4 linked regions of the Saccharomyces cerevisiae S288C genome follow. Changing the gene in region 3 together with the main gene of any one other region gives a genetic interaction. Each region holds a gene or a part of one and is shown on either strand. Other genes may lie near its edges.

Region 1 (4,669 bases), on a different chromosome or scaffold from region 3:
TAAGTTGCGTCCAAATGACAATGAAAAAGAGGAACTGTATACTTGGAAGAAGCCCAACAATACTGTTATAGGTATTCTCATTGGTAATCCACAAGTTGATAACCACGGTGAAGTGAACGTTGTCAATCACACAACCGGTGATCATTGCAAGTTGTATTTCAAAGCAAGGGGATGGAGGTCATCAGGAGCATATGAAATCACAGGCGAAGTCTACAACAAGAAAAAACAGAAGGTGTGGATCCTAGGAGGACACTGGAATGAAGCTATTTTTGCCAAGAAAGTAGTAAAAGATGGCGATCTCTCGTTGGAGAAAACTAGAACCGCTGCATCAGCAGGGAATGGGCCTACGGATGACGGAACGAAGTTTTTAATATGGAAGGCAAACGACCGTCCTGAGGAGCCATTCAATTTAACACCTTTTGCTATCACGCTGAATGCTCCACAACCACATCTATTGCCATGGTTACCCCCCACAGATACACGTTTGAGACCAGATCAAAGAGCAATGGAAGATGGGCGTTATGACGAAGCTGGTGATGAGAAATTCAGAGTTGAAGAAAAGCAAAGAGCAGCACGCAGAAAAAGGGAGGAAAATAACCTTGAATATCACCCACAATGGTTCGTCAGGGATACTCATCCCATCACAAAAGCTAAATATTGGAGATATACGGGCAAATATTGGGTTAAAAGAAGAGATCATGATTTGAAAGATTGTGGTGACATTTTTTAACACGCCTTTTTTATGCGAGCTTTTTTCCTGGTACTTGTATGTATTTTGAATGTATTTTATTGTACTGAATTGTATTTTATTCTACCGCACATTTGTTTCTTTTGGCATATATAGTATGTTTACTTAACAATAGGGATTTCCTTCAGTTTTCCTAGATGTATCAATTTAGTTATCTTTTCGAACACTTTGGTTATGTCACCATGGTCAGATGACCATATTATTTTGAAATCCATATAACCAATTACAAAGCAAGCAACAAGCGAGTAAATAAAATCGTTAGGCGGTTACCATAACCCTTCGTTACGACGCTAAAGTGCTATATAATGCCTCCATTACGGCTGCGATAGAACTGTGCCTAAATTAGCGGCAGAGGTTGAAAACCAATCATCACTAACGTATTCAATATTAATTGTTGAGAAAACCAACTACGGATTGTTATAGAGATCAAACTATATGCACTGAGAGGACGTTACTTCTTTTTTTACTACCTTTCTGTTCCTGTAATAACAAGTTCCGTGGAACTCAAAGAAAGGTGCCTCAGCCCGTACGAACCTTTCCACGGATAATCACGTGATCGCTATTACTAATAGCCGTTTACAGTGATGGTTCTAGAAAGTTCCGTTTCGGCGAAACTTGTTGAGGAGAGCAATTCTATATAAGGAAAGAATAGTTCGAAGCCCAATTTGGGGAAAGCCCGGGATGAGCAGCCTAACCCACACGGATAATTTTTTATCGTTCAAGGAGGAGGATACGTTTTATCTCTAATATAAATTAAAGATAAACCCGAAACTCTTTTTTCTTCTTGGCGTGGAATATTTAAGGAGTAGATCAGTTCCATTTTGTTCATCCTTTTCTCCTCAAGGAAGAACTCCGCTTTTTAGTTGAACTAATAGTAGATAGTACTAATAGCTAATTTGTATCTTTTCAAAAGTTTTCTAGAATTTTCAAGCAATCATGGCTTCTACGGAACTTAGCCTAAAAAGAACCTTAACGGATATTTTAGAAGACGAGTTGTACCATACTAATCCAGGTCACAGTCAGTTTACGAGTCATTATCAAAACTATCATCCAAATGCTAGTATTACTCCATATAAGTTGGTGAATAAGAACAAGGAAAACAACACTTTTACGTGGAATCATTCATTACAACACCAGAATGAATCGAGTGCAGCTTCGATACCCCCACAACAAACCTACCATTTCCCGATATTCAACAAATACGCGGATCCTACTTTAACTACCACCACCTCTTTTACGACTAGTGAAGCAACGGCCAACGATAGACAGATTAATAATGTCCATCTCATACCAAACGAGATTAAGGGTGCTAGCGAAACCCCATTGCAGAAGACCGTCAATCTAAAGAATATAATGAAAGTATCAGACCCGTATGTACCGACACGGAATACGTTCAATTATGATGTTAAAATTTCCAACGATTTTTTCGATAACGGTGACAATCTATATGGTAATGATGAAGAAGTGCTTTTCTATGAGGATAATTATAATCCGAAAATGCAGTGGTCACTTCAAGATAATAGCGCCGCAATAAACAATGAGGATGCGAGAGCTATTTTTAACAATGAATTTGACTCTGATGACGACGATATCAGTGATGATGAAGAGGATGAAATAGAAGAAAATTGTTTGCAACAAGAGCAACACCAAGAGGAGCCTTTACTGTCATTGGATGTTACACCAATCTCAATGTTTGGCTCAGATCAAAAAACGGGTCGTGCCAAGAGTTCTAGTCATTTATTTAATGAGTACAGTTACGTTGACTCTAACATGGACAGCATTTCCAGTGTTGTATCTGAAGATCTGTTAGATGAACGGGGACATGAGAAGATAGAGGATGAGGATGAGGATAATGATCTTGATGAAGACGATATCTACGATATCTCTCTCTTGAAGAACAGAAGAAAGCAAAGTTTTGTCCTCAATAAAAACACTATTGATTTTGAAAGATTTCCATCTCCCTCAACCTCGGCAAACGTACCGTCTACTGCTACTACCGGTAAAAGGAAACCAGCAAAATCATCCAGTAACCGTAGTTGCGTTAGTAACAGTAATGAAAACGGCACATTAGAAAGAATAAAGAAGCCTACATCAGCTGTAGTAAGCTCAAATGCTAGTAGGCGGAAGCTAATTAATTATACTAAGAAGCACTTATCTTCACATTCATCTACAAATTCGAATTCGAAACCTTCGACTGCATCACCATCGGCCCATACGTCATCTTCTGACGGTAATAACGAAATATTTACGTGTCAGATAATGAATCTCATTACAAATGAACCGTGTGGTGCCCAATTTTCAAGGTCCTATGATTTAACGAGACACCAAAATACCATTCACGCTAAAAGGAAGATTGTCTTCCGTTGCTCGGAGTGTATAAAAATTCTTGGATCTGAGGGCTATCAGAAGACGTTTTCGAGACTGGATGCTTTAACAAGGCATATAAAATCGAAGCATGAAGATTTGTCGTTAGAACAACGTCAAGAAGTTACAAAATTTGCAAAGGCTAATATTGGTTATGTCATGGGTTAATTAAGGTTACAAATTATATAGGAGATAAAAGAAGAAAACCTCACACAAAATGGAAATACATATACACATCTATATATATTTACAATATATATCATATATCTGCATTCAGGAATGTTCTTATAAATATCACATTTTTAAAGTACCTCATTGGACTTATAATAAGTTTTCTATTGGTTTTCATTATACTTCGGAAAATACACAATTATATTATATACTTACCCCCCTTAAGGATTTTTTATGAAACCCTCATTACGGACTTTCTCAGCATTGATCTTAGCAGATTCAGGATCTAGGTAGAATTTTCTGATAAACTTAAGACCATTATTCTTATCTAATTCAACGACTAAGGGGATACCATTTGGAATATCAACATTCTTGATGTCATCATCTGATATACCCTCCAGAATTTTCAGTAGCGATCTCACTGAACTTCCATGGCCCACAATCAGGCATGAAGATTCATCATATTGATTGGCTAATTTTAATATGACATTTTGTAGAAAAGGATTCAATCTATAAACCACTTCACGAAGAGATTCGGAATCCGGTAATACAATGTCATGATTGCTGCATTCCAATTCATATTTTATTTGTCTGTTTGGCTCCTTGAATTCGTACCCAGTAGAAGAGCCCTTCTCATTTTCTTGTTGAATCATCTCACGGTCAAGATCTACAGGTGGTGGCTTACCCTCGTAATCTCTCCTAATGAACATATATTTATCCTTACCATATTCTTTTAAAACATTCGGTTTCCTCTGGCCCTGCCAGGAACCGTAATGACGTTCATTTAGCCTCCAAGTTTGAAGAATCGGGATTTTCATATTATCCTTGTCATCACTGCCAAATTCGTCTCCAAGTTTGATTTTATTAAAGTCGTAAACAACCTGCAGTTGTGGCTTTAACTTAAATTCTTCACACATCGTTTCTATGGTCTGTTGGGTCCTAATTAAACGTGAGGTGTAACCAATCTGGGGTAATCTCAAATTATTAGCTTTACAATATTGTTCGATTAGCTCGGCAGAATGACGAGCTTGTTCTTTACCTTTTTCGGTTAGCTTAGCGTCAATCCAACCACAGAATATATTCTCGTGATTCAATTCACTTTGTCCATGCCTTAACAAGAACAATGTCATGACATTGGATGGTGTGCTTGCAGTCATTGTTTACTAAGTTAATATATCTATATTTTTTTTATGTATTCTTGGGTTTAAATTGAACAACCTCGTATTTGGATGTGTGTCTCGAAACACTTCTACGTATATATATAAGCTACTTTGGATTCAAAGATAATTTTGTCACGTTTGTTCTGGTGGGAAATTTCAGCCAAAGGGAAAAAAAAAGAAAACGGTGAGCTCCGTATTATCTTCGTCGTGGGGTGATAACAACATG
Region 2 (8,949 bases), on a different chromosome or scaffold from region 3:
TCCCACTCATTCATATATGAAAGCTTTATACAAGTATCCCTTTAAAAAGGCCTTTCCATACAAAGAATTGGTGCAAAAGAATGGTGAAAGGGGATACGAGGATAAAGAATTCGAAGTTTACGATATAGATGGGCTATACCGTGATAGTGAAACCGGTGACAACCCTTATTTCGATGTTTTTTTTGAAATGGCAAAGGATGACGAAAACCCTAGTGAACTGAACTTTCGGCTAACTATACATAATCGAAGTAAAATCGACTCTGGTGAGCTCTACATAGCTCCCCAACTTTTCTTCAGAAATACTTGGGCTTTTGACGGTACTAGAACAAAGGACAAGCCCTTGCTTGAAAGAGATGCAGAAGCAGCGAACTTAATCAATATGACTCACAAGAAATATGGTAATTGCCAAATGGTCTTTCAGCCATCTCCAGGTGGGTTCTCTTCCGGTACAAACGAGGAAGAGGAAGATAAAGAGGTAGAAGATATAGATCCTCTGCTGCTATTTACCGATAATGAGTCCAATTTAGTAAAACTATTTAACGAAGAAAAGAATCCTTCCGAGTACACAAAGGATGCTTTTGAAGAATATCTTGTTCAAGGCAAAACCGATGCTGTAAATCCTGAAAATAAAGGAACAAAGGCCTGCGCAGTATATCACTTCAAAAATATTCCGCCCGGAGAGTATGTTACTGTGAGATACAAATTTACAAATGACCCAAAAAACTCTATCTTTAAGGCACAAAACCTGGCTGTCGTAGATGAAGATGAGTTTGATTTGATTTTCGATAACAGAGAGGAGGAAGCTGATAACTTCTACTGGAGGATTACACCTTTGCCAATCAGTGATGAATTAAGAAACCTTCAAAGACAAGCTTTTTCTGGTTTGCTATGGACTAAACAGTTCTACAATTTTACATATGATGCTTGGTATAATGGTGACGCCAATGTTAAGCCTCGCCCTCCCCCTAATAGAGCTAATGGCAGGAACAAGAACTGGAAGCACCTTTACATCGAAGATATCTTATCAATGCCCGACAAATGGGAGTATCCATTTTTTGCTTCATGGGATACTGCGTTTCACTGCATTCCTTTAGCTATGATTGATCCAGAATTTGCAAAACGGCAATTGGATTTATTAACCAGAGAGTGGTACATGCATCCTAACGGTCAAATTCCGGCATACGAATGGAACTTCAATGACGTAAATCCACCAGTCCATGCATGGGCTGTGTATCGTGTTTTCAAGATCGAAAGAAACATGTACAACCGTGAAGATCGTACATTTTTAGAACGAGTTTTCCAGAAGCTTTTGTTAAATTTTACATGGTGGGTCAACAGAAAGGATACTGAAGGTAAAAATGTTTTTGAGGGCGGATTTTTGGGTCTTGATAATATTGGCGTTTTCAACAGATCAGAACCACTACCCACTGGCGGTACGCTTGAACAGGCTGATTCTACAGGTTGGATGGCCTTTTTCAGCCTTCAAATGCTAAATATTGCATTAGAGCTCGCCAAAGAAAACCCGGTTTATGAAGATATTGCCTCTAAATTTTTTGAACATTTTATCTTAATCAGTGACTCTATGTCCTTTGAATACGCTACTGATATTACGGGAGAGAAATGTAAAGAAGTTATCAAACAAAACCTATGGAATGAAGCAGACAAATTTTATTACGATGCCATCTCTTGGGGTGACCACAAGGTGCAACTACCAATAAGATCTCTCGTGGGATTGATCCCACTATATGCTTCTATGACTTTAGAGCCTAGTATCATAAAACAATTCCGCGGTTTCAAGAAGAGGGTTGATTGGTTTGTGAACAACCGTCCAGAAATCTTTGATAGAAACATTGCGTCCATGTCAAAAAAAGGAGTGGGAGAAAGACTACTTTTATCCCTAGTTACTAAGGAAAGATTAACAGCCATACTGTCACGTTTGCTGGATGAAACTGAGTTTTTGTCACCATATGGTATTAGATCTCTTTCCAAATATCATGAGAAGCACCCATTCGAAATGAATGTAAATGGTGTCGAATATATGGTCAAATATTTGCCGGGCGAATCAGACTCGGGTATGTTCGGCGGTAATTCTAACTGGAGAGGGCCCATTTGGTTTCCTACCAGCTTTTTAATAATGGAAGCATTACAAAGGTTTTACCTGTACTACGGTTCCGACTTCAAAGTAGAGTGTCCCGTAGGTTCAGGAGATTATTTGAATCTTGCTGAAGTTGCCGAAGAACTTGGATATCGTATGATTCACTTATTTGTTCCAGACGAAAACGGGGAGCGCGCCATTCATTATGGTGATCACTCTAAGTTTCTGTCTTCTGATCCATATTTCAGGGATTATGTGCCATTTTTTGAATACTTTGACGGTGATACTGGAAGAGGGCTTGGCGCTTCACACCAATGTGGTTGGACTGCTCTTGTGGCCAAATGGATAAGTGATGTAGGTATATCCTGTGTAAGACTACCTCGTACGCCAAGATCATCTGTGGCAACGACCGCTTCAACAGAGAGCTCTGAGCAAGGTCCCAAAATGAAGAGAATGGCAAGACGTAAGAGTGCAAAGTCTTTGGTAAACTACACTGCCACCATTTTGGACTTAACCGAAGAAGAAAAGCGCCATCATAGGATAGGGGGCACCCATTCTGGGTTGACACCACAAAGCAGCATTTCAAGTGACAAGGCTAGACATTTGATGGAGGAAATGAATGAAGAGGAAGGTATTCACGAAACTGTGGTACCTGAAGATCGTCACAACTTTGAAACCAAGCTTATAGGCAAGCTAAAAGATAAGGTGAAAAATATGAAAGTAACTGACAAGGCTAAAGATGAGGATATAGACCCAATGGACCCAATGAGTCCGTTGAATAAGGATGTGTCTTGATTAACTGCGGTGAACCTTCAATATCTGTACGTTTGAAAAATATTTCCAACGATATACCTCTATATTTTGATCTATAGAATATTTAATTGCAGTAGTTTTTTATCAGTAAGGTAGCGTTGATATTACTAGTGAAGGTAACTCTATAGTTCCTTGACATGTTCTTTAGATTCTAGAGGTTTTTTATTGAATTTGTTTTCCCACCTTATTTAAACTTTGAGAACAAAACTAGCAAAATCAATAATATAAGGACTGCGATAATGGCATAGCTTATGAATTTATTAGCAACTAGCCTTCTAGTCATTGTTTTTAGTGTCTTTATACTTTTATCCACATATGAATCCGCTTGAAACAAGGTCTGTCTTGCATTTTCCAAAGTTTCTCTCTGTGACCTTAAATCCATCATTATTTGTGACCCTATTCCTTCAGTTTCATTTGCTATTCTACTGGCATCTTTTAGTCTATCTCCCGATTTCTGTAAGATTGCATGGTTGCTCAACAACTGTTGCCTTTGGTCATCGTCAATATTAGATGCGTTAAGATCTCCAAAAAGTCTATCACGATCGCCTGAGTCTACTAAGGATTGCAGTGGTCGTTTGATATCGCTCTGTATAGTCTTCTTCCATTCTCTTAACTTCGCCTTGTACGTAGCACGTTCTGAGGCATCGCCTATGCTGTTATTAACTTCTACATCCATCTGATCTAGCAGGTCAAACAACTCATCTTGTTGCTGTTCTACGTGCTTCAGTGTAGTATTTCTCTGTGATAACGGTTGTGAGGGGGCCTCTGCTAAGCTCGCTTTGGCTTGTTCTAAGGTTGTTTTGAAGTCAGATTCGTATGATATTAATAGGGAACTCATAGTAAGCCATGCAGCAATGTAAAGAGTGCGGTTGATTCGTTTTATACAACTTAATGTAAAGCTTTACACTTTTCCAAGAATAGTAATTGCCCTATATAGCACGACTACTCCACTCCTAACTTTCATTGAAAATTAGACAGTCATGTGATCAGTAATATCGTCCATAGTGATATTTGTTTGTTTACCATTTTTGTTCTTATTTACTCTCTAATATGATTCTAGTATATGAAAGATACCACTGTCGTAGCTCGTATCAAAATAAAACTAGTCAGTCGTTGACCATTGAGCATATCGTCCGAGAATAAGGCTTTACTGTATTATTTTTTGATATCCACACGTTATTGAGCTCATTCACTGATCGACACATTTAGGCGGCTTTTCCGTTTGGCTGAAGCAACTTTGAAACACAACTACGACATTATAATTAAGCGCCTAAATAAGTGAATTTTGTGCCATAGGGTTGGACCGTGTATATATAAGAGCTATTCACTATTTTAATATTTGTTTTGGCATTTGAAACTCGTTGACATAAGCTTTATTATTAGGATGAATAACTCCAAAATTCCTAAACTTTCCTTTCATAGTGATCCAAACAACGTCACTCGAGACTTTCCAAAGACAAAACGACAGAAGGTTCAGAAAAGAGAAATGGATATGATACTAACTCCTAATAACAACAAGCTAAATATATTGCACAGCTCTGGATCTGGTATACGGCGCTGCTACACTGATGACACCTCCGCTACGTATACTAAGAAACTAACCTTTGGGGGGGACCCCAAGATTATTGAAAGGGTTAAGAACAATGAACGTAAGGTTAGAAAAGACATAGATTCACTACTGAATGCTATTTCTGAAATTGAAAAGGAATCTGTTCGTATTCATGCCAGGGAACTACCTGCAATAACATTAGAATTAGATGCAAAAGTCAAAGCGTGCAGGGAGCTACAAAATGAGATTGATGGACTATCAACGGAGATGGACTTGAAGGATAATCAATGTGATCTTCAAAGAAAGAATGTTGAGCTATCATCAAAAAATATAGTGTCTATGCATGCAGTAAAAGTACAAGAGTTCGAAAACGATTTAGAGGAAGAGCTATCGAATGCCAAAAGGGAGTGGACGTATAAATTAATGGAAGTAGAAAATTTGAAACCTGACGAAAGGTTAACTGACGAAATGCGACAGCTTAAAACAGAATTCGAGGAGGTCAATAGGAAACTATTCATTCTACAGAATGAAAATGAGAACGAGTGTAAAAACTACAAAAAAGAATTGGACAAGAAATTCGAGATATTCAAGAAAGTTAAGAACGATGCTAGAATTGAATTAGATGGGGAGCAAGAAAGACTTTCGAAAGTTTTAAAAGACCTACAAGACACCCATGGTGAACTGAAAGAAAATATTAAGACGTGTAGAGATGAGTTTAACGATTTTGAAAAAAGGATTGGAGAGGCAGAAGTGAACTTCCATAGCATGGAACTTGCCGTTGTTCCTCTCAAAAAGAAGCTTGCTTCTACATCACAAGCATTGACGCAAGTGCAGGAGGAGAAGAAGCAAGTCGAAGGAGAAGCAAACAATTGGAAGAAGAAGTACGTTAATGAACTAGAAAAGGTTCAACAGGAATTATACACACGACAAAATCTGGCCACTTCAATTGAAGAAATCAAAGGATACACCCGATGCTTTGCGTATGCCAATGAACGACAAATGCCTGATGAATTCCATATCAACTATGTGGATCGGTGCATTTGCGAGAATAGTGGAGAAAAACGGGTACAAGTATTTGATAGAGTAGTTCTCGAAGAAATCCATAAGGATCACAAACGCTTATATAACGAATGCATTCCGTTCCTGGAAAAATACATCAGCAAGTTAATTAACTGCAGCATTATAGTGGTTTCGCAGCAACCCACAGCACCAATGAAAAAGACTTTGCTAAAACAGTTAATTGAGCAGTACGGTGAGAATTATAAGATGACATTGAACATTTTGCATCTTGACGGAAGTATTAAACACAGTGACGTTGGATTAGATAACCCAACAGAAATTAGAGATCTGTCACAAGATGAAGAATGCATGAACATTTTAACTTTAGATACCAAGTTGGGAAAAGATGAAGAGTCCCATTCAATGAATATATATATCGGTAGTATGTCCACGGTACAGCTGAATAGAGAGCTTGATGATGCTCCCTCAGTCCTTTCGCATATTCTCACTAAAACAAAGCAGTGCTTTGTCTTCAAGATTAACGCTGGTGAAAACATCGAGAAGGCTCTAGCCTTAGCGGGAAAGCTGAAAAGAACAATAACATTACCTCAGCTAGATTAAGAAGGCCAGATCTTGTGCGCTACAATCACTTCGTCTCGTTCCCTTACATAAAAAACTTACGTAGCTACATTGTCGTGCGTGGCATCAACCTAATTATCCTAGCAAAATAAAAGAGAATGTTACGGGACTAACAGGCGGATGTAAATTACTCACTTAAACGCAGCCAAACATCATCGAGAACTTAGGGTAGCGTGCCACAAAATTTGCATGAATAAACTTTTGTTTTCCTAATTCGACAGCATTCCCTTGTTCGCAACACTTCACTGATAGGAAATCGAATAGCGCACACTCTCTTCTGGGACATACCCCAATGCGGTAAAGCCACGAAAACACCGCGCGTAAAGGGGTAAACAAGTCCATTCCTACAACCTCTTGGAGAAATTCTTTACCTACTACAACCCCGCGCCTGATACTTTCAGTATTCATGACAACTCGAGCCAGATCCCGCTCGTGGGCGTGTTCATTCTGTGACGATCCACTAGCGACTTCTTTGTTCAGCCTGCAAGAGACGCGTTCAAGGAAGAATTCGCGATTTTACTTCTTCGAGGGAATCTCGCACCGCGTTAGTTAGTTTCCAACCTTGAAAGCATCGGAGACGCATTTTTGGCGATTTTGCTGGATTGAGCTGAATGGTGCCAGGTCGAGGCTGGGAGGGAGACTAACTCGAAAGTGACGAAGACTCGAAAATTAAAAAAAAAGATACTGCAGAAGGCAAGATTGAGAATGGAGTAAAGGCAGCGTGGGTCCCCTGTGGAAACCGCAGTTTTCCTGCGCCAAGTGGTACCGGTGCGAGTGCAGCAATTAATCTCTCGATATTTTCTTAGTATCTCTTTTTATATAAGAATATATTTTGGAATTGGTAATGCTTATCTTCAATAGTTTCTTAGTTGAATGCACACTTAAGAGCAAATTGGCCAAGGAGTTCTTCGTTCGCTTTAATTTATTTCCTGGTTATTGTCAATTTATTCATCCCATCTCCCCAGGATAGAAGAAATTAGTGTAATTTTGCTGACAATACATTTTAACGACGATAACAATAATAGCAATTAAATAAAATAGCACTACCACCACTCCACTGCTCGTTAGCTATTTCTGTAAAATAAATAAAAAGATCATGAACCACTCAGAAGTGAAAACTGGGTTAATTGTCACTGCAAAGCAGACATATTACCCAATTGAATTGTCCAATGCAGAACTACTAACTCATTACGAAACCATACAGGAATATCACGAGGAAATCTCTCAAAATGTGCTGGTCCAATCTTCCAAGACAAAACCAGACATAAAATTGATCGATCAGCAACCGGAGATGAATCCTCATCAAACTAGAGAAGCCATAGTAACATTTTTGTATCAACTTTCAGTGATGACTAGAGTAAGTAATGGTATCTTCTTCCACGCTGTCAGGTTCTACGATCGCTATTGCTCTAAGAGAGTAGTGTTAAAGGACCAAGCTAAACTAGTTGTAGGCACCTGCCTTTGGTTAGCGGCCAAAACTTGGGGAGGGTGCAACCATATTATAAACAACGTCTCCATCCCCACAGGTGGTAGGTTTTATGGTCCCAATCCTAGAGCTCGTATTCCACGCCTTTCTGAATTGGTTCATTATTGCGGCGGGTCCGATTTATTCGATGAATCAATGTTCATTCAAATGGAAAGACATATCTTGGATACTCTGAACTGGGACGTTTATGAGCCCATGATTAATGACTACATTTTAAACGTTGACGAAAATTGTTTGATACAATATGAACTTTACAAAAACCAGTTACAAAATAACAATAGCAACGGCAAAGAATGGTCCTGTAAGAGAAAGTCACAATCTTCTGACGACAGTGATGCCACAGTGGAAGAACATATCAGTAGTTCACCGCAAAGTACTGGACTAGATGGCGATACAACTACCATGGATGAAGATGAAGAACTAAATTCCAAAATTAAATTGATAAATTTGAAAAGATTCTTAATTGATCTGAGCTGTTGGCAATACAACTTGCTTAAATTCGAATTATACGAAATATGCAATGGTATGTTTTCTATAATAAACAAATTCACTAATCAAGATCAAGGCCCTTTTCTCTCTATGCCCATTGGTAATGATATAAACTCAAACACTCAAACGCAGGTATTCAGCATTATCATCAATGGCATAGTCAATTCTCCCCCATCTTTAGTCGAAGTTTATAAGGAGCAATATGGTATAGTACCTTTCATATTACAAGTAAAAGATTATAACTTGGAATTACAAAAGAAACTGCAACTGGCCTCTACAATAGACCTAACCAGAAAAATTGCTGTCAATTCTCGTTACTTTGACCAAAATGCCTCTTCATCATCAGTTTCTTCTCCAAGCACATATTCTTCGGGAACCAATTATACTCCAATGCGAAACTTCAGTGCACAATCAGACAACAGTGTTTTCAGTACTACCAACATTGACCATTCATCGCCGATCACCCCTCACATGTACACTTTTAATCAGTTTAAAAACGAAAGTGCTTGTGACAGTGCCATAAGCGTAAGCAGTCTACCTAATCAAACCCAAAATGGTAACATGCCATTATCAAGCAATTATCAGAATATGATGCTAGAAGAAAGGAATAAAGAGAATAGAATTCCCAACTCATCATCCGCTGAAATACCACAACGTGCCAAATTTATGACGACTGGTATATTCCAGAACACAGGAGAACTTACTAATAGAGCGTCTTCGATATCGCTATCGTTAAGGAACCACAATAGCTCTCAACTGTGACCATTTTCTCATCAAGCCTACATATATACTTAATTAATAACGGAATACTACGCTTTTCCATCGTAAGTAATAATGACATTCATACTTGACATTTTAATACCAGATAATTTTAATGCC
Region 3 (9,786 bases):
TCTTATACCCAGGTGGTAAGAAGTCCGAATCTGTTGTGTACCAAGGTTCAAGATCCTTGGACTCTTTATTCGACTTCATCAAGGAAAACGGTCACTTCGACGTCGACGGTAAGGCCTTGTACGAAGAAGCCCAGGAAAAAGCTGCTGAGGAAGCCGATGCTGACGCTGAATTGGCTGACGAAGAAGATGCCATTCACGATGAATTGTAATTCTGATCACTTTGGTTTTTCATTAAATAGAGATATATAAGAAATTTTCTAGGAAGTTTTTTTAAAAAAATCATAAAAAGATAAACGTTAAAATTCAAACACAATAGTTGTTCGCTATATTCGTCACACTGCACGAACGCCTTAGGGAAAGAGAAAATTGACCACGTAGTAATAATAAGTGCATGGCATCGTCTTTTACTTAAATGTGGACACTTGCTTTACTGCTTAGGAAACTACTTATCTCATCCTCCTCCATTCCCTCTCCTTTTCCAATTACCGTAATAAAAGATGGCTGTATTTACTCCTCCATCAGGTAATAGCAATTCCACCGACCATACTCACACACAAGATGACCACGACAAAGATGATAATGATATCAAGAAATTCTACATAAGGCCAAGTTTAGGCTTAAAACTGTGGGGTCCGCTCGTACCCGCTCCTGATAACCTACCGGGACTATACACTCTAATCACTATCCAATCTGCAGTGGGTTTCTTTGCCCTTTGGAGACTGAGAAGGCTCTACAAACTACCGCCACCGCGCCGCATTGCCACTGGCACTCACTCGGATTTATCCTTTGGCGAACTACCCAGTGAAATGATTGTCAATGGCAAGACTAAAATCAAAAAGGATATTGCTGACTTTCCAACTTTGAACCGCTTCTCCACCACCCATGGTGACATTGTGCTCGCCCCTCCTCCCATCATACCTCGCCAATCTCGATTCGTCAGCGTCAGAAAGCTCTTATGGGGGTTGTTTGGCTCTTTGCTACTTTCTCAGTCACTGTTGGAGCTTACTCGCCTGAACTTTCTTAAATACGACCCCTGGTGCGACGAAATGAAATCCGTACGTGACAAGAAGTTTTTCAACAATATTGTCAAATATTATCACGAGGGCATAGACCCCACCAAAATAAAAGTCAAGGATGCTATGAACGGTACTCCTCTCTCGACAAATATCCCTGAGGTCAAACAAAGCGTCGCTCTCGCTAGAGCGCAAGTTGAGGCGCAGAATCCCATTATTAAATGGTTCGGACCCTTGGAATACAAGCCCATGTCTTTCAACGAGTACCTCAATCGCATGGAATTTCACTTGGACATGTTCGAGTTTTTTCAAAATAAAAGAAACATTAGAGAAAATTCCATTGAACTCATCAATTCCATATCCCACAATCCGCAGTCTTCTTCTACTGGCCTTGAAGGTCTTTCCGAGTCCAAAAAACTCCATCTACAAAATGTGGAAAAAAGACTGCATTTCTTAGCATCTTCGGGAGATTCCATTTCCGCACCAGTAAAGAAGAGATCCAGCACCACACTCTCCCGAGGTGTCATTTTGCCCCATGACACGAAAGGCCCGCAAGATATTGATCTCGATACAATAAGATCGCTTTATGATCCATGGATGACTTTGGCCTTAGAAACTTCGCTAAGCATCAAATTCATACCAACTACCATGCCCTCCCATACCAAGACACCCACTAGCACGGACCAGCCGTTACCAGGGCCTACCCCCAAGGCTCTCACTAATGAAAAGACACATTAGGTCTTTGCGGATTGCTTAGTTGTACCGTGCGTATATTAAATCCTTCTTCGTACACCGTGATTTTTCAGACGGCTACCAGAGAAAATATGGCTGGGATTTCATATTATATATGCAAATATATAATAACATATATATATATACACTCCATTAATAACTAATACCTACATTCATATCAACACTTTCATCCTCCCCTTCCCCCATAGCAATGAAGATAACGTGTACAGACTTGGTGTACGTCTTCATTTTACTCTTCCTAAACACGAGTTGTGTCCAAGCCGTTTTTTCAGATGATGCATTTATCACTGATTGGCAACTGGCTAACTTAGGTCCTTGGGAGAAAGTCATCCCTGATTCTCGAGACCGCAACAGGGTTCTCATCTTATCGAACCCTACCGAAACTTCCTGCTTAGTTTCTTCGTTTAACGTTTCTTCCGGACAGATTCTTTTCAGAAACGTTTTACCCTTTACCATTGATGAGATTCAACTGGATAGTAATGACCATAACGCAATGGTTTGTGTGAACTCTTCAAGCAACCATTGGCAGAAATATGATTTACACGATTGGTTTTTACTAGAGGAAGGCGTAGATAATGCCCCTTCTACGACCATTTTACCTCAATCCTCATATTTAAACGATCAAGTATCTATTAAGAACAATGAACTACATATTCTCGATGAGCAGTCAAAACTGGCAGAATGGAAATTGGAGTTACCTCAAGGGTTCAATAAAGTGGAATATTTTCATCGTGAAGATCCCCTGGCGTTAGTGTTGAACGTTAATGATACCCAATATATGGGATTCTCTGCCAATGGCACAGAATTGATCCCCGTTTGGCAAAGAGATGAATGGTTGACTAACGTGGTAGACTATGCTGTATTGGACGTCTTCGATTCTAGGGATGTGGAGTTGAACAAAGATATGAAAGCGGAACTTGATTCAAATTCGCTTTGGAATGCTTACTGGCTTAGATTGACAACTAATTGGAATCGCCTTATCAACTTATTGAAAGAAAACCAATTCTCACCAGGACGTGTCTTCACTAAACTCCTAGCTCTAGACGCTAAGGATACCACGGTATCAGATTTGAAGTTCGGATTCGCCAAAATCTTAATTGTTTTGACGCATGATGGCTTTATCGGCGGCCTTGATATGGTCAATAAGGGCCAACTTATCTGGAAACTCGATTTAGAAATTGATCAGGGCGTCAAAATGTTCTGGACGGATAAAAACCATGACGAACTTGTTGTTTTTTCGCATGATGGGCATTATTTGACAATTGAAGTTACTAAAGATCAACCGATTATCAAATCAAGATCCCCCCTATCTGAAAGGAAAACTGTTGATTCCGTTATTAGGCTGAATGAACATGATCACCAGTATCTGATTAAGTTTGAGGATAAGGATCATTTACTGTTCAAATTGAATCCCGGCAAGAATACGGATGTACCAATAGTTGCCAACAACCATTCTAGTTCCCACATATTCGTCACAGAGCATGACACGAATGGCATTTATGGCTACATAATCGAAAACGATACGGTAAAACAAACTTGGAAAAAAGCCGTAAATTCGAAAGAGAAAATGGTGGCATATAGCAAGAGGGAAACAACAAACCTAAACACTCTTGGTATTACACTAGGTGACAAATCGGTTCTTTATAAATATTTGTACCCCAACCTAGCGGCTTATCTGATCGCTAATGAAGAACATCATACAATCACTTTTAACTTAATTGATACCATTACAGGAGAAATCCTCATTACCCAAGAGCACAAGGATTCTCCGGATTTTAGGTTTCCAATGGATATTGTTTTCGGTGAATATTGGGTCGTTTATTCCTATTTCAGTTCTGAACCTGTTCCAGAACAAAAGTTAGTAGTGGTGGAATTATATGAGTCACTAACCCCAGATGAGCGTTTGTCTAACTCAAGCGACAATTTTTCTTATGATCCATTGACTGGACACATTAACAAACCTCAATTTCAAACTAAACAATTCATTTTTCCCGAGATTATCAAAACAATGTCCATTTCCAAGACAACGGATGATATTACCACAAAGGCAATCGTTATGGAATTAGAAAATGGACAAATCACCTACATACCAAAGCTTTTATTGAATGCAAGAGGTAAACCAGCAGAAGAAATGGCCAAGGATAAGAAAAAAGAGTTTATGGCTACCCCATACACGCCAGTTATCCCAATTAATGATAATTTCATTATCACTCATTTCAGAAATCTATTGCCAGGATCCGATTCGCAGTTGATCTCCATCCCAACCAATCTGGAATCCACAAGCATTATATGTGATCTAGGCCTTGATGTATTTTGTACAAGGATCACACCTTCGGGCCAATTTGATTTAATGAGTCCTACTTTCGAAAAGGGTAAATTGCTTATTACTATATTCGTCTTGTTGGTGATCACGTATTTTATCCGTCCTTCTGTTTCAAACAAGAAGTTGAAATCCCAATGGCTAATTAAATAGATATTTACATACACATTATATATATCAGATACACATTTCAAGGCTCCTTATTTTGGCTTTCTTTTTTTTTTTTTTTTTTTTCCCTGGAAGACGTCATACTCGTGGTTATATAATCTCCTACTTCTTTGGAAAATGGACACTTAATCAATGACGGTTGATAGCAGTACGTGCACTAGCAGACTAATATGAAGAAGACGTTCGAGCAGTTTCGAAAAAGCAATTTACTATTTCAGGTTCTCAAAGGACCCCAGCATCTAGAATGTCAGAAGTTATTTGTCCTTGATTCTTCATTCAATCCACCACATCTGGCCCATTTTCAACTACTATCGCAGACTATTAAAAACTTCAAATTGAAGGACACCCGTTCGCATGTTTTATTACTGTTAGCGGTGAATAATGCAGATAAGTTGCCTAAGCCGGCATCTTTTCCAACTCGTCTGGAAATGATGTGCTTATTCGCTGACTACCTTCAGGAGAAGCTCCCCCAATCTGTAGTATCTGTCGGGTTGACTGTTTTCTCGAAATTCATCGACAAGGACAAAATATTACATGAGCAATTTGTTAAAGGATGCAGTGCAGATATAGGCTACTTAGTTGGTTTTGATACAATTGCTAGGATCTTTGATGAAAAATATTATCATCCTTTAAAAATCAGTGATGTAATGGAGAGCTTCATGTCGGGATCTCAATTATATTGCTTGGCGAGAGGCGATTGCCATCTCAGTGCTGAATCGCAACTAAGATACGCCAGTGACATCCTTGAGGGAAAATTCGAACCGGTAATACCAAGAGAATGGGGCGCTAGGATTCATGTTATGCAAAATGATTATCCAGCATTAAGAAATGTTTCATCATCCGAGATTAGGAACAAACTGAAGAATGGGCAAGTGGAGAGTTTGAAAGACGAGTTGCCATTGTGCATATACGATTATTTGATCAATAATAAGACAATATTTGATTGAAAGAGAAAGATAGAAATTCAAATGCCTTTCATGGAGATATATGTATATAGATAAAGATAATATTAGGAACAAAAAAAACTTTCTGTTATACTAGACTAGTAATCTTAAAACAATAACATAGCAACAAGGCATGTACCAAAAAGAAGGGGGTCCAATTGCATGCTTGGATTTGCTGAGTTCGCGTATTTTGAAATCACTCTTTTCTTGGAGTCTTCACCTTCTTGCGTTAAATCTTTGTACCCTTTTTCTATGATTGTACCATCCTGTTTAACATTCAGCGTATTTTCCTTCTTACCAGAAATACAAGTGAATTTCCCACCCCTGATGATTGATCTTCCATTTGATGGGTTTGTCCATTTATTGCAATCCAACACGTTTGATGAACTCTTAATAAAAGCGCTACCTTTCACCAGTTTCAAGCTATCGAACATGATATCTTTGAACGAACCTTCAAAGAAAATAGCACCTCCAATCTGCTTCAAGTTTGGCAGGAAAGTAATATCCTCGAGGGATTCGTTATCGGCGATCATCAAGCCACCTTGAATGTCTGTTAAGTTCTCCAAATTAACTTTTATTAAATTTACATTGTTGATAATTCCTAATGTTCCACCAATCTTCTGCAAATTGTTCAGGTTCAATTCGTAAAAGTAATTTTCGATGAACTCTAAAGAGCTTTTCACTTTTGTTAATTGTGGAAGGTAGACCAATGATGTGTCCCTAATCGTTATGTTTTCCACTTCTCTCAAGTGTGGCATTTCAAGTTCTAGCTCCTTAGCGTTCGCATGTACACTGAATTGTCCCCTAATGGTTTTAACGTTCGAATGAATAGTTTCTAAAAATCTGTTATTATTGATATTGAAAGTATCAATTTCCTGAACCTTGTTGAAATTCTCGATGTTTGCTAATGAAGTATCCGATATGACAATATCCTTTATAATCTCAATATTCTGAGAATCCATGGAGACGTAGTTCAAGATGGGAACAACTTTCCACTCCAGTGACTGACAAAATTTCAAAGTTGGAATTTCAACAGAAACCAAAGAGGTTAGTCCCTGTAATTGGAAGAGCCCTTCGATTTTATTCAAGTTCCCGGCTTGGATTCTGATCAGTTCAGGTGAATCCTGAATAATCAGGTCACCACCAATGGCCCTCAAGCTGTTCAAATCCAAAATGTTAGAATCATAGTTTGTGACTTTTAATGACCCCAAGATGAATTCACATTGGTTTTGTAAATGAAAAAGATCATGAGACGATTCAATGACGTGCAAATCTTTTTTACACAACTCTGATATCGGTGAGTTTGTGTTCAGACTCTTGACATCTATTTCAAAAAACGGTTCATTTGCTCTTCTTTGAAGTTCGAGATTACCGTTATGAAAAGGCTTCACATTATGTGGTCGCCTTGGCGGATCAATAGCGGCACCCAATGCATGTGTCACAAATAATGATGCAAATATAATCGCGAATAAACAACTTTTCCTAGTAATACGGTTCATAAGTCGATCAAGTAATGAAAAAATGGCTTTTGGTTTTCCTTGTTGTATTTCAGATGAGATATCTTACCAACAGAACAAGTTTCTCTATTGTATGTCACAAAAGGATATAGCTTCTCCAAAATCTTTCTTTTTTATATTTTTTTTTTTTTTTTTTTTTTTGAATTAGTGACGCATCTTCTGTACAGTAAAGAGAGAAAAAAAGGGTATAATAAAACAGTTAAGCTATACTATAGTAGCGCATACACACAACGTATATACATCTAGTATTAAATATTAGTAATTATTAAATAACGAAAAAATAAATTATGGTTGAAATAGAATCAAACGTAAAGAACAAAGAAAAAGCTTAATGGAACGAAAGTTAAAAAGCTCCCCAATTTTGAACAACGGTTATGGAATTAGAAAGAAAGAAAAAAATAAAGGAAATAAAAATGTTCCTAGAATAAGAAGGCAACACCGGCAGCGATTGCTGCTCCAAAGGCACCCGCCGCCATGGTATTAACTACGGCTTCGCCAATCGAAACTGTCGTAGTCACCGAAGCGGTAGGAAGAGTAGTATTTGGCTGCGTAGCATTTGGCTGCGTAGCATTTGGAGTAGTGGCGTTAGGTTCAATGCCAACTTGGGCGTTGATAGCAGTGACTGTAGCTAGAACAGCGACAATGTTTTTGATTTGCATTATTTAACGGAAGTATAAGGTTTGAAAAGGGAGCTTTAATTGTTTTAGCCGTTATCGATTTAGCGGTGAGAATGAAATAAAGAAAAGAGGAAGAAAAGACATTACATACAAATTTTTTTCAACTTAAATGGAGGTTATGTACTTTCTTATATAGATGCTAATCTTTTTTTTTCATCTCATCACAGATTTACGTCGTCAATCTACTAACTTCCCTTATCTTCCCTAAAGGGTATCTTACGTTTCCCCTTAGGGAAAATGAGTTTTGTCCCACCTTCCCTTTGGGAAAAGGCAATGTAAATCTTAGAGGCAAGAACCACACTTGTTGATAAGATCAGCTGCGTAACAGTGCGCTAGGCAAAGGGATGGAATAAGATAAATCCCTTGTTATCCCTTTGCTTTTAGTCTTATGTTGGGGAAGTCCACAAGTTATTGTTACATAAAGGAGGAGAAGAAAACTAGGGGAATATTTATAACACTCGCATTAGCTGATCGTAGGAAAGCAACACAAAACATATGCATCAGCTGGCCCTGTTTGTCTTGCTCATCGATTGATTTTGCAAGCAAAGCTGGGATACCCGAATGTGTATGGTTTTCCTTTTTTTGGTATTTTTCTCCTATAAACGAGCTTTTTTTCGTCTTGCATTCAGATTTAAATAGCTGCTTCTAAATATATACTTTACGCAAGAGGGTCCGGTCCCAATAGGAACCAAGCTATTGCAATTCCAGGGTTCAAGAGAGAAAAATCTGTAATCACTTCGAACCAATGTTTAGTAAATACCTCGTAACTGCATCTTCCCTCTTTGTGGCTTTGACCTCTGCAGCATCTACCGTTGATCTAGATGCTCTGCTTCTTCTACCAGGGGTCGAGTCCCACGACGGCGTTGATACTGTATTTTCGACCAAAGACTTTTATCAAGTGTCATTCGTCAAATCCATTGCTCCTGCTATCGTAAACAGCTCCGTAATCTTCCACGATGTTTCTCGTGGTGTGGCTATGGGCAATGTCAAGAGCAGAGCAAGTATCTTCAACCCAGAGGAAACGTATTACGATTGGGAACAGTACCAAGTAGTAAATAACGGAGACTGGCGAACCGAATGGGCACCTGCCTCTGACTGCATTTGGAGGGAGGAGAAGGATAACAGCGACGAAACACCGGACAGATTCCCCATCTCGGTGCCATATAATTGGACGTCACAGTACTCAATTGTAGATTATGACACAGACGCTAACGAAGACAATTTAGATTTCAGGTTTATTAAATCATTGCTAGATAAGAAAAATTGGTTGAAAAAAATTAACCAGACTGTTTCCCAATCCAGTATTATGGTAGCACCAATGATTAGGCCATACAATGTGGTCCAGCTTTGGTATTCAAAAGATATGGTTTGGGCAAACGTCCAAAGACAATATTGTAGCGGTGTTTATCCAGGAGGGACTCAATGTAGCGCTTGGTCCAGGTACTACCATGTTGATGCACCCACCTGCGATGAGCCTGTCGCCTCTTACATGACCAAAATGTTGGAAAATGAGGTTCAGTGTCCCAATGAGAGAAACGCAACTACCCTAGAGCCTCTCCGCCTGAATAAGCAGGGAGACTCTGATTTTTCTTTGACTTTCGAGGAAGAGGAAGAGGAAGAGACAGGATCTAAATCTCTTTGGAGTACATTGAAAAAAATTTTCTCTAAAAGAAGTATAAGTTGATCTTAGTTGGTAGCACTTTGATGAGGTCTCTAGCAAAAAGTCTACAAACAAATTCTTGAAAGTGTTTGATTGTATATCGATATATCAGAAACATACATATGATTTTTATCTTGTGAATATTCATCAAACTCCGTTTTTAGCCCCCGTGTAAGTTACTTTAATGAGTATTTGATCCTTTTTTTTATTGTGTTGGTTTTTATATGTTTTGTTATGTATTGTTTATTTTCCCTTTAATTTTAGGATATGAAAACAAGAATTTATCAAAGAAAAAAATCTTAGCTTTAAGAACTACAAAGTAAATAAAAAATAATAAATCACACCGGACAGTACATGAAACTGGACATATTTGAGGAATTTCTTTTGAAGAGTTGAGCATTCAAACTGGCCGGTCTTGCTGTGGCCTCAATCCACTTGAGCTCCAAAGAAGGCTCTGAAATGCTTATTTTTTTCAAGCGATACAAAGTAAACAGTTACATACCTGAATGATACTACCACAACTATTTACATTATCGTCCTGTCAAAAGGCGAATAATCAGAACTGTTTGTTAACATGTCATTTTATAAGAGCGGCCTGAAATACTGTCATAAGTGGTCTGTCGAAAGTAGTTATTACGGCGTCGGGCGTCGCGAATAGCTCAAAAGTCACCCCAGCTTACACGATATTCCCATAACCTACAGCAAGAAGCTATTCTTGGATACAAGCACCAGTT
Region 4 (7,684 bases), on a different chromosome or scaffold from region 3:
ACCAATAGTTACCTCAGTGGAACTAGTGACTAGTGTGGTTACAAAAGCGATCGTGAGTACTTCTGATCAACATCAGGAAACAATATTTGTTACGAGGACATCCGTGGTTGAACGATCTTCTGAGGTAGCTACTGCTACTGCTGCCGCCTCAAATAATAGATCTAATTCGACTTCGAAGCAGCGTCTGAGTGGTGGAGCCATTGCCGGTATTGTTATTGGTGTTGTGTTTGGCGTAATTTTTATTATTTTGATTCTATTGTTCCTGATATGGAGGAGACGGAAATCGCACGACCAATTAGACTTGGAGGAAACGAAACATTATCAGCCCTATTCGTTCGGTGATGAGGATGCAAATCCAATAGGACCGCCTCCCTCCTCTGGTACGACAAATTGGATGAGACATTCAAGGGGTAATACAGCGGGTTCTATCGGTACAAGTAATATGTATGGTTTTTCTATGAGTAATGGTGCAAATTATAGTAGTCCTAGTTCAAACACCAGTGGAAGCATCATAAACAACTTGGCTGGCTTACAAGATGCTACGGTTCAGAAACAGAACCTTCCATCGACAGTTTTTGAAGAGGCAAATACTTTGAATAGTGCAAATGAAAGGTTCAGTGCCAATTCTTTACCCGACATGATGATGAGCGGACCATTGCAAGTGGTAAACCCTGATAATCCTGATAATCCTGAATTATCTAGTACCGTATCTCATAATCGAGCCTGAAAAACTCGCATAAACTCTCAACATTAATGGTAATCAACTGGTTCTGCTGGACGGAGCCATTCTAAATCATTAACTTTATAATATCATGTTTTATACCCTAATATTTAAACAATTTACTGCTTTTGGCACTTCAACTGTTAGAAAAAGAACAATAATATTTAGTATTTAGTTTCATTTTTAAATTTTCTGATTCACTTCATTTGCAGCTTCTAATGATGTTTGTGGTACAAAAATATAAACAATTTTAAAATATTAAAAAAAAATGCTTCCAATCGGATTTGAACCGATGATCTCCACATTACTAGTGTGGCGCCTTACCAACTTGGCCATAGAAGCTAAATCTCTGAAAGCTGCGCTCTTCAAAGGCGAACCAAGCAAGATAAATTAATATTATTATGTAAAACTATCGTTTTCCTTTTGTTGATTCCTATATCCCGGAGAAGAACTACTAATTATCAAATTATTCACCAAATGATCAAATTTAGCAGCGTAGTGAGTGCCACTATGTAGATGTTGGAATAAAAACCAACTATCGTCTATCAACTAGTAGTCATACTATCAATATATTATCATATACGGTGTTAGATAGTGACATAAGTTATTATAGAAGCTGTCACCGAAGTTAGAGGAAGCTGAAATGCAAGGATCGATAATGTAATAGGATAATGAAACATATGAAATGGAATGAGGAATAATCGTAATATTGGTACATAGAAATATAGATTCCATTATGGGGATTCCTATATCATCGAGGAGAACTTCTAGTACATTCTGTATACCTAATATTATAGCCTTTATCAACGATGGAATCCCAACAATTATTTCAAAATTCACCCATTTCTCAGTAGAATTATTAATATTGGGGAATATATGGGTTTCTATGGTTCGATAGTACTGGCGCACATTCAGCATACAAATCCTACTACCTTGGTAAAGACCGAAATGCCAACAGCCGTCATTAAATCACGATATAATAGAGCATATTTCAAGTTATATAGATCCATATATCAAGGGTTTACCATACGCTCTTCCAAAACTTGTAAAGCTAACTGTCTTCGTCTTTCTTCTACAGTCATAATTTTTTTGGCGCCTCTACTTTCTGCGATGGTGTTCCCAATATCTATATCAATATCATGAAAAGGTTTAATGACTTTAAATTTTACAACAACTACATTATAAATGAAATTGAAAATCGGCCTCAAAATCGGCTTAATTAGATCAGGAAAGAAGTAAATCAATTGAAAAGTATCAGATGCATCGCCGACCAATATTTCCTGACCACCTTGAGAATTAGTTGTTGGCAAAGAGGGACAATTCAAGGGTGCAAGTTTCTGGAAAAACCTCAAGTACGACCAACTGGCAAAAAAGGTAACCCAAATGGAGAACAATTGAGCAAAATGATGAAACCATATTATTTGGGTTACCGTCATTGTAAACATTACAAAAATGGGTAGTAATTTGAACCTAAAGTTTTTGGCCAAAAATTGAGGTGTCTTCAGATGGATTATAGTTGTTTCAGGCAATAACTGTCTATAAATGATAGGGAAACCGATTAAAATTGTGTAGTTCCCGTCTAAGGGAATATCCAGCCTTACCTTATTAGAGAAAAAAGATACTAACAAAGTCAGCATGATGATCAGAACGTTTGTAAGAGAACCTAAAACTATGATAAATTTGAACATTTCTTTGGAAGAGTTCCAATTGCGTTCAATGAAGGATCCACCAATGATCAAATTCAATAAGTTCACTACCACCTTCCAAGCTTTAGTGTCGATGAAGTTGGATAGAACTAATGAGGTGGGGTACCTCCAAATCTGCGAAGGTACCATTTGCAAAAGCGGCGAAGTAATCAAGTTGTAGTCCAAGTTAGGGTCTTCAAGAACTAGCTTGTTGTACAAGGATCTCCTTATACAGAAAAGGGTTGCAGTTAAGCATATATAAGTGACTGTAATAAATTTAGTAGCATCAGGAATCTTATTGATATTTAAAAATGAATCCGGGATATTCAATTCTAGGAACCTCGAACTATATTGCATTATAGTGAACAAATATCTTTGTTATAAATAGATTAGTCGTCTTCTTTTTCTTGGCTTGGTTTGTATGAGCTTGTTACGTATCAAACAAAATATTCACATGTTTTTCTCACCTTAAAGACAGAGGCGCGATTGCGTTTGCGAAATTCCAATGCCAACAAGATAAGCTTGACGAAGGAGTTAAGAGGGCGGCTTGAACTAAAAAGAGAAAAGCAATAATGACGAACGATATTAAGGAGATACAAACAATACAGCCGGGATTGTCCGAGATTAAGGAGATAAAGGGTGAACTGGCTAATGTGAAGAAAAGGAAACGCAGGTCTAAGAAGATTAATAAATTGACTGATGGTCAAATACGTATAAATCATGTTTCGTCTGAAAAAAAAAGGAGAGAATTGGAAAGAGCTATATTTGACGAACTGGTAGCAGTAGTACCTGACCTGCAACCCCAGGAAAGTCGGTCAGAACTAATCATATACCTGAAAAGCTTGAGTTACTTAAGTTGGTTGTATGAAAGGAATGAAAAGCTGAGAAAACAAATCATAGCTAAGCATGAGGCAAAAACCGGCAGCAGCAGCAGCAGCGATCCCGTACAAGAACAAAATGGAAACATTCGGGATTTAGTACCGAAGGAGTTAATTTGGGAGCTGGGTGATGGACAGAGTGGTCAGTGATTCAAGGAGTAGGGTAAAGTAAGTAATATAAGCGAAGAAATTCTTCCCATACCTTTTCTTCACTTTGCAGAGGGGAGTGGTGCATATCCCACAAAGAAAAGTAGCAACAACAATGATATATATACGTTACTACTAATGCTTTCCTTCATCGAAAGTGTGCCGAAGTATTTATTTAATCTTTTAGTGTTCAACTTACTATAATGTGATACTTTTTCAATATTGTTTGCCGTTGAAGCGATAGTGCTTTATGTCATTTTATCTTTCTTTTACATTGTTTTATTTTAGAGCTAAAATTGAACATCAGTTTGCAAGAAGTCAGTTGGTTGGCCTTTGCTATTAAGAGACCATAATGTTATAGTGATTGAGATCAGTTTCACCAACTAATAACAATTAACCCGGGCGGTTAGTGTAGTGGTTATCATCCCACCCTTCCAAGGTGGGGACACGGGTTCGATTCTCGTACCGCTCATATTTTTACTTTCTTATCAAACTTTTTTTCCTCCGGGACGTGAAATAACCGCCGAGGTTATTCTCGGAGCATTCTTTTTTGTGGCTTTTGATCATCCATCATCATCATCATCATCATTATTACTACTACTACTACTACTACTATTATTATTATTATTATTATTATTATTAGTATTATTATTATTATATTGATTAGTTATTAGATAGATACAATTAAGAAAAATTTATGTAAAAGGTCAGAATAAACAGCATTTTTCTCCTCTTTTTTTATTTTTAAAAAAAGAAAAAGAAACTTCTAGTAAAGTGCAGCACATTCAAGTGTGATTAGTTGAAAATGGAAGCAATTTTACGGTTCAATTTCTTCAAGAAACCGCCTTCCTTCTTGGTTTCCTTCTTCTCACTGACGGCGGCGGAAGCTTGCTTCTTAGTTTCTTCAACTTTGTTGGCAGCTTCGGTCTTCTTTTGTTCGACACCATCAGCAATGTTTTGTTCTTCCTTCTTCACCTGTTCAGCTTCTGGAGTAGCTTCATTTTTTAGGTTGTCGATAGAAGCTTCAGCTTGTTCCTTTACTTCTTGGCCCTTGTTTTGCAAAGATTCTTTGGTTTCTTCCAACTTTTGTTGGACATCTTGGGCGGCAGTTTCAGCTTTGTTTTGAATTTCAGACATTATTAATTGATATAAACGTAGTTTTGTATGTTTCTTTGATTTGAACTTTTAAGTATACAGAGAAAAAAACCGATCAAAGAAAACTAAAGTATAATGAGGTTAAAAACGAAAGTAATAAAGTAGAAAGGCTATCAAGCAAACTGAGATGATCTTCGACGTAAAAACTCGCTCTATATATATACGCCATATAAGCCCATCGGCGATGGGGGACAACACGAAGAAACAAGAGAAGAGGAGAACCGCACAGAAAGCAGCAGAAACAGAGCAAACCAGCATTAACTAAAGATGATAAAAATAAAATTAGGTAAGAAACCTTAATTGGATATACAAAAATACACTGGAGGCACAAATCGCCATCGATATAAAACACGATAAAGCCCTGGTGCACCCATAAACCACACGTTTAACTATTTGGGTCGGGGCACGACGAAATCTAGGGATAGGCACCCGGACCGTCGGGGCAATACTAGGCGCACACCGCGCTCGTGAAGCAGACCTCCCGGCGAGTTTAGCTGCGCCACGTACTGCTCTAACGCGAGAGACTCCTGAAACACAGGTCTAGAAAGAAGGGGCCCCAAAACCCAGCTCCACAGACCGCCCGTAAGCATATCGAGCAACAGGCCACTTAAGTTACGCCACCCGAACACCTCACCTTCTTCACGCAGCAAGAATCCGTTTACCCGGTGCACAACCTCCGCGAGCTCTGCCGCACTAAGATATTCTGACAGAGGCGAGACGGAGGAGCAGCCAAACACGTGATCCCCAATGTCGTAACGCCCGCACCGCACAAAGCTAGTGCCATCGTCGCCCACGATTGCCGCCGGCTCGCTACCGGGAAGCTGTGTACTAAATTGTGGCGTTTCAAGGCTGCTGCGAGACTCATCGAACCGCCGGGGCACTCGTACCACCCGGGTCACCTGGAACTCGGCAGAGCCCCGAGCAGCATACACATTCGGGAAATGTGTAATACACAATTTGTGGTCTTCGTCGTGCTCTGTGGGTTTAGCGTCTTCGGAACCGAGGTCTTCGTAGAATGAATACGAAAACTCATGGTAATTAAAAAATAACGCCCTTTCGCTCGTATTTGCGTTATCTTCTTCCTTTTGATGGCTATCGCACATCTAGTAAGGGTTAGATTGAGTATTGTCCTCTAATGTAACTTTTTCCTCTTATTCCTCTCCTCCCCTTAGCTATTATATATCTTTTTTACCGAATCTTGAATTAGGAATAGTTTTAAAATCAGGCCGGAGGCCGAGCTTGCGACAACTACGACCAAAAAAAACAAAGGAAAAACGAAAAGAAGAAAACATGCACAGGAGAACATAGTTGGAGAAAAGGGTTAGAACAGACCGATACAGAGATAAACTAGCGAAGAATAATAACTTTATACAAAATTAATCATGAGCACATCCGCCAGCGGTCCAGAACACGAGTTCGTTAGTAAATTCTTGACCTTAGCCACTTTAACTGAACCGAAGCTACCAAAAAGCTATACTAAACCTCTGAAGGATGTTACCAATTTGGGTGTCCCGTTGCCTACTTTGAAGTATAAATATAAGCAGAATCGTGCCAAGAAGTTAAAACTGCACCAAGATCAGCAAGGTCAAGACAACGCCGCCGTCCACTTAACCTTAAAGAAAATTCAAGCTCCCAAGTTCTCCATCGAGCATGATTTCAGCCCATCAGATACTATCTTACAAATAAAACAGCACTTGATCAGCGAGGAAAAGGCCTCCCACATAAGCGAGATAAAACTGCTTTTGAAGGGCAAAGTCCTCCACGATAACCTGTTCTTATCGGATTTGAAGGTCACGCCTGCCAATTCCACAATCACAGTCATGATTAAGCCGAATCCGACTATATCTAAGGAACCCGAAGCCGAGAAATCCACTAACTCCCCTGCTCCTGCTCCTCCACAGGAACTCACTGTGCCCTGGGATGATATCGAGGCTCTTCTGAAGAACAATTTCGAGAACGATCAGGCTGCGGTTAGGCAAGTCATGGAGCGTCTACAAAAAGGCTGGTCTCTGGCCAAATAAGATTAGTATAGTTAGTACGTACATACTTGTTATTTTACACAGTTGCGCTTTTTATCACGGTTGCGCTTACTATTTTCTTCTTTCCTTTGGGCGGCTACTCGCCCTTTGTCTATTTCTCGCCATCGCCACATACTCTCTACCGCGATCAATCTTTTCCTGGGTAATACCATTCAACGCAACCTTCTTCTTCATCAGGACTTTCTCAAAGATATCATTCGGATTGAGCAATCTTTTTGGGAAATTTTGAATCACTTGCAAAATCTCCATATCTGCCTCTTCCTGCGTCTTAATCTTGTTCTTTAATCTTTTGAAAGTTGAATCAGAGTCATTACTACCACCGAAGGTGTACGAAGAGTACTGTCTAAACAGTTTCTGGCTTTTACTCTCCAAAAACTCGCTTTCGCTCAATTTCAGTATCCCCAAAGCCACTTTAAATAAAAAATGAGACTCTTCATAGAATAAACAGTCCCATATTCTCAGGGTCGTTTCGATGGGCACCACGCCCACAAAACAGCTCATAAACCAACTTGCCGTACACAGCGTCAGCGTAGGCAGCCTGCAGAGATATTCTTCCCCCGATGCTGGCCCTGATATCTGGTCAGTGCTGCCATTGCCATTCATATACGATGACTCAATGTGTGACCATATCTCGGGTAAATATTCCTTGATACATAACACCAACACCCCTTGATCCACGTTCGCACCCTCTAAGTCTGATTCATACACGCCAGGTAAATACTTACCGGTAATAATAACCAGCATCCAAAATGCTTTCTCTTCTTCCATGAACAATAATAGCAATCCAACGAGAAAATTCATCGATTGGCAGTATCCAATAGTCTTGTCATAAACAGAAAAGGCCATTAATACTCGACGCAATGATCGGATGATCGCCGGCTCTCCATTTTGGAAGGACTCCTTATGGAAATGTATATTATCGGGAAACGTTCGATAAAGATCCCGTTCTATAGCTTCCATATCTTTACCAGATACGGCACCCTCGCGACAGTCACTTTTCAGTCTATCATAAACGCCAACATTTGCGTCTAATTGTCGTTGTCCACCAGCAAAATACCA

The links.
Region 1: mutations in EMC1 (region 3) and RPN4 together harm fitness more than expected from each alone (negative genetic interaction), as found in Saccharomyces cerevisiae (5 studies listed by BioGRID, with this or other methods).
Region 2: mutations in EMC1 (region 3) and CIK1 together harm fitness more than expected from each alone (negative genetic interaction), as found in Saccharomyces cerevisiae (2 studies listed by BioGRID).
Region 4: mutations in EMC1 (region 3) and INO4 together harm fitness more than expected from each alone (negative genetic interaction), as found in Saccharomyces cerevisiae (2 studies listed by BioGRID).

Annotation. Positions count from the first base shown.
Region 1 is NC_001136.10:413,724-418,392, reverse strand, and holds RPN4 (stress-regulated transcription factor RPN4), read left to right. Parts: upstream 1-1,684; coding exon 1,685-3,280; downstream 3,281-4,669. Other genes in the region: oxysterol-binding protein related protein OSH2, read left to right, coding at 1-730; phosphoglycerate mutase family protein GPM2, read right to left, coding at 3,505-4,440. UniProt on the Saccharomyces cerevisiae protein: Acts as a transcriptional activator of a number of genes encoding proteasomal subunits. Binds to a PACE (proteasome-associated control element) DNA sequence 5'-GGTGGCAAA-3'.
Region 2 is NC_001145.3:655,453-664,401, forward strand, and holds CIK1 (Cik1p), read left to right. Parts: upstream 1-4,292; coding exon 4,293-6,077; downstream 6,078-8,949. Other genes in the region: YMR196W (uncharacterized protein), read left to right, coding at 1-2,890; v-SNARE protein VTI1, read right to left, coding at 3,093-3,746; cyclin CLN1, read left to right, coding at 7,192-8,832. UniProt on the Saccharomyces cerevisiae protein: Together with the minus end-directed microtubule motor KAR3, involved in spindle midzone assembly, karyogamy (nuclear fusion) during mating, and with an essential function in meiosis I.
Region 3 is NC_001135.5:39,076-48,861, reverse strand, and holds EMC1 (Emc1p), read left to right. Parts: upstream 1-1,956; coding exon 1,957-4,239; downstream 4,240-9,786. Other genes in the region: protein disulfide isomerase PDI1, read left to right, coding at 1-209; MGR1 (Mgr1p), read left to right, coding at 498-1,751; POF1 (nicotinamide-nucleotide adenylyltransferase), read left to right, coding at 4,425-5,201; SPS22 (Sps22p), read right to left, coding at 5,306-6,697; YCL048W-A (uncharacterized protein), read right to left, coding at 7,135-7,374; YCL049C (uncharacterized protein), read left to right, coding at 8,138-9,076. UniProt on the Saccharomyces cerevisiae protein: Part of the endoplasmic reticulum membrane protein complex (EMC) that enables the energy-independent insertion into endoplasmic reticulum membranes of newly synthesized membrane proteins.
Region 4 is NC_001147.6:107,181-114,864, reverse strand, and holds INO4 (Ino4p), read left to right. Parts: upstream 1-2,978; coding exon 2,979-3,434; downstream 3,435-7,684. Other genes in the region: WSC3 (Wsc3p), read left to right, coding at 1-727; YOL107W (uncharacterized protein), read right to left, coding at 1,735-2,763; ZEO1 (Zeo1p), read right to left, coding at 4,227-4,568; SHR5 (Shr5p), read right to left, coding at 4,976-5,689; MDY2 (Mdy2p), read left to right, coding at 5,969-6,607; Rab GTPase-activating protein MSB4, read right to left, coding at 6,677-7,684. UniProt on the Saccharomyces cerevisiae protein: Transcriptional activator of phospholipid synthetic genes (such as INO1, CHO1/PSS, CHO2/PEM1, OPI3/PEM2, etc.).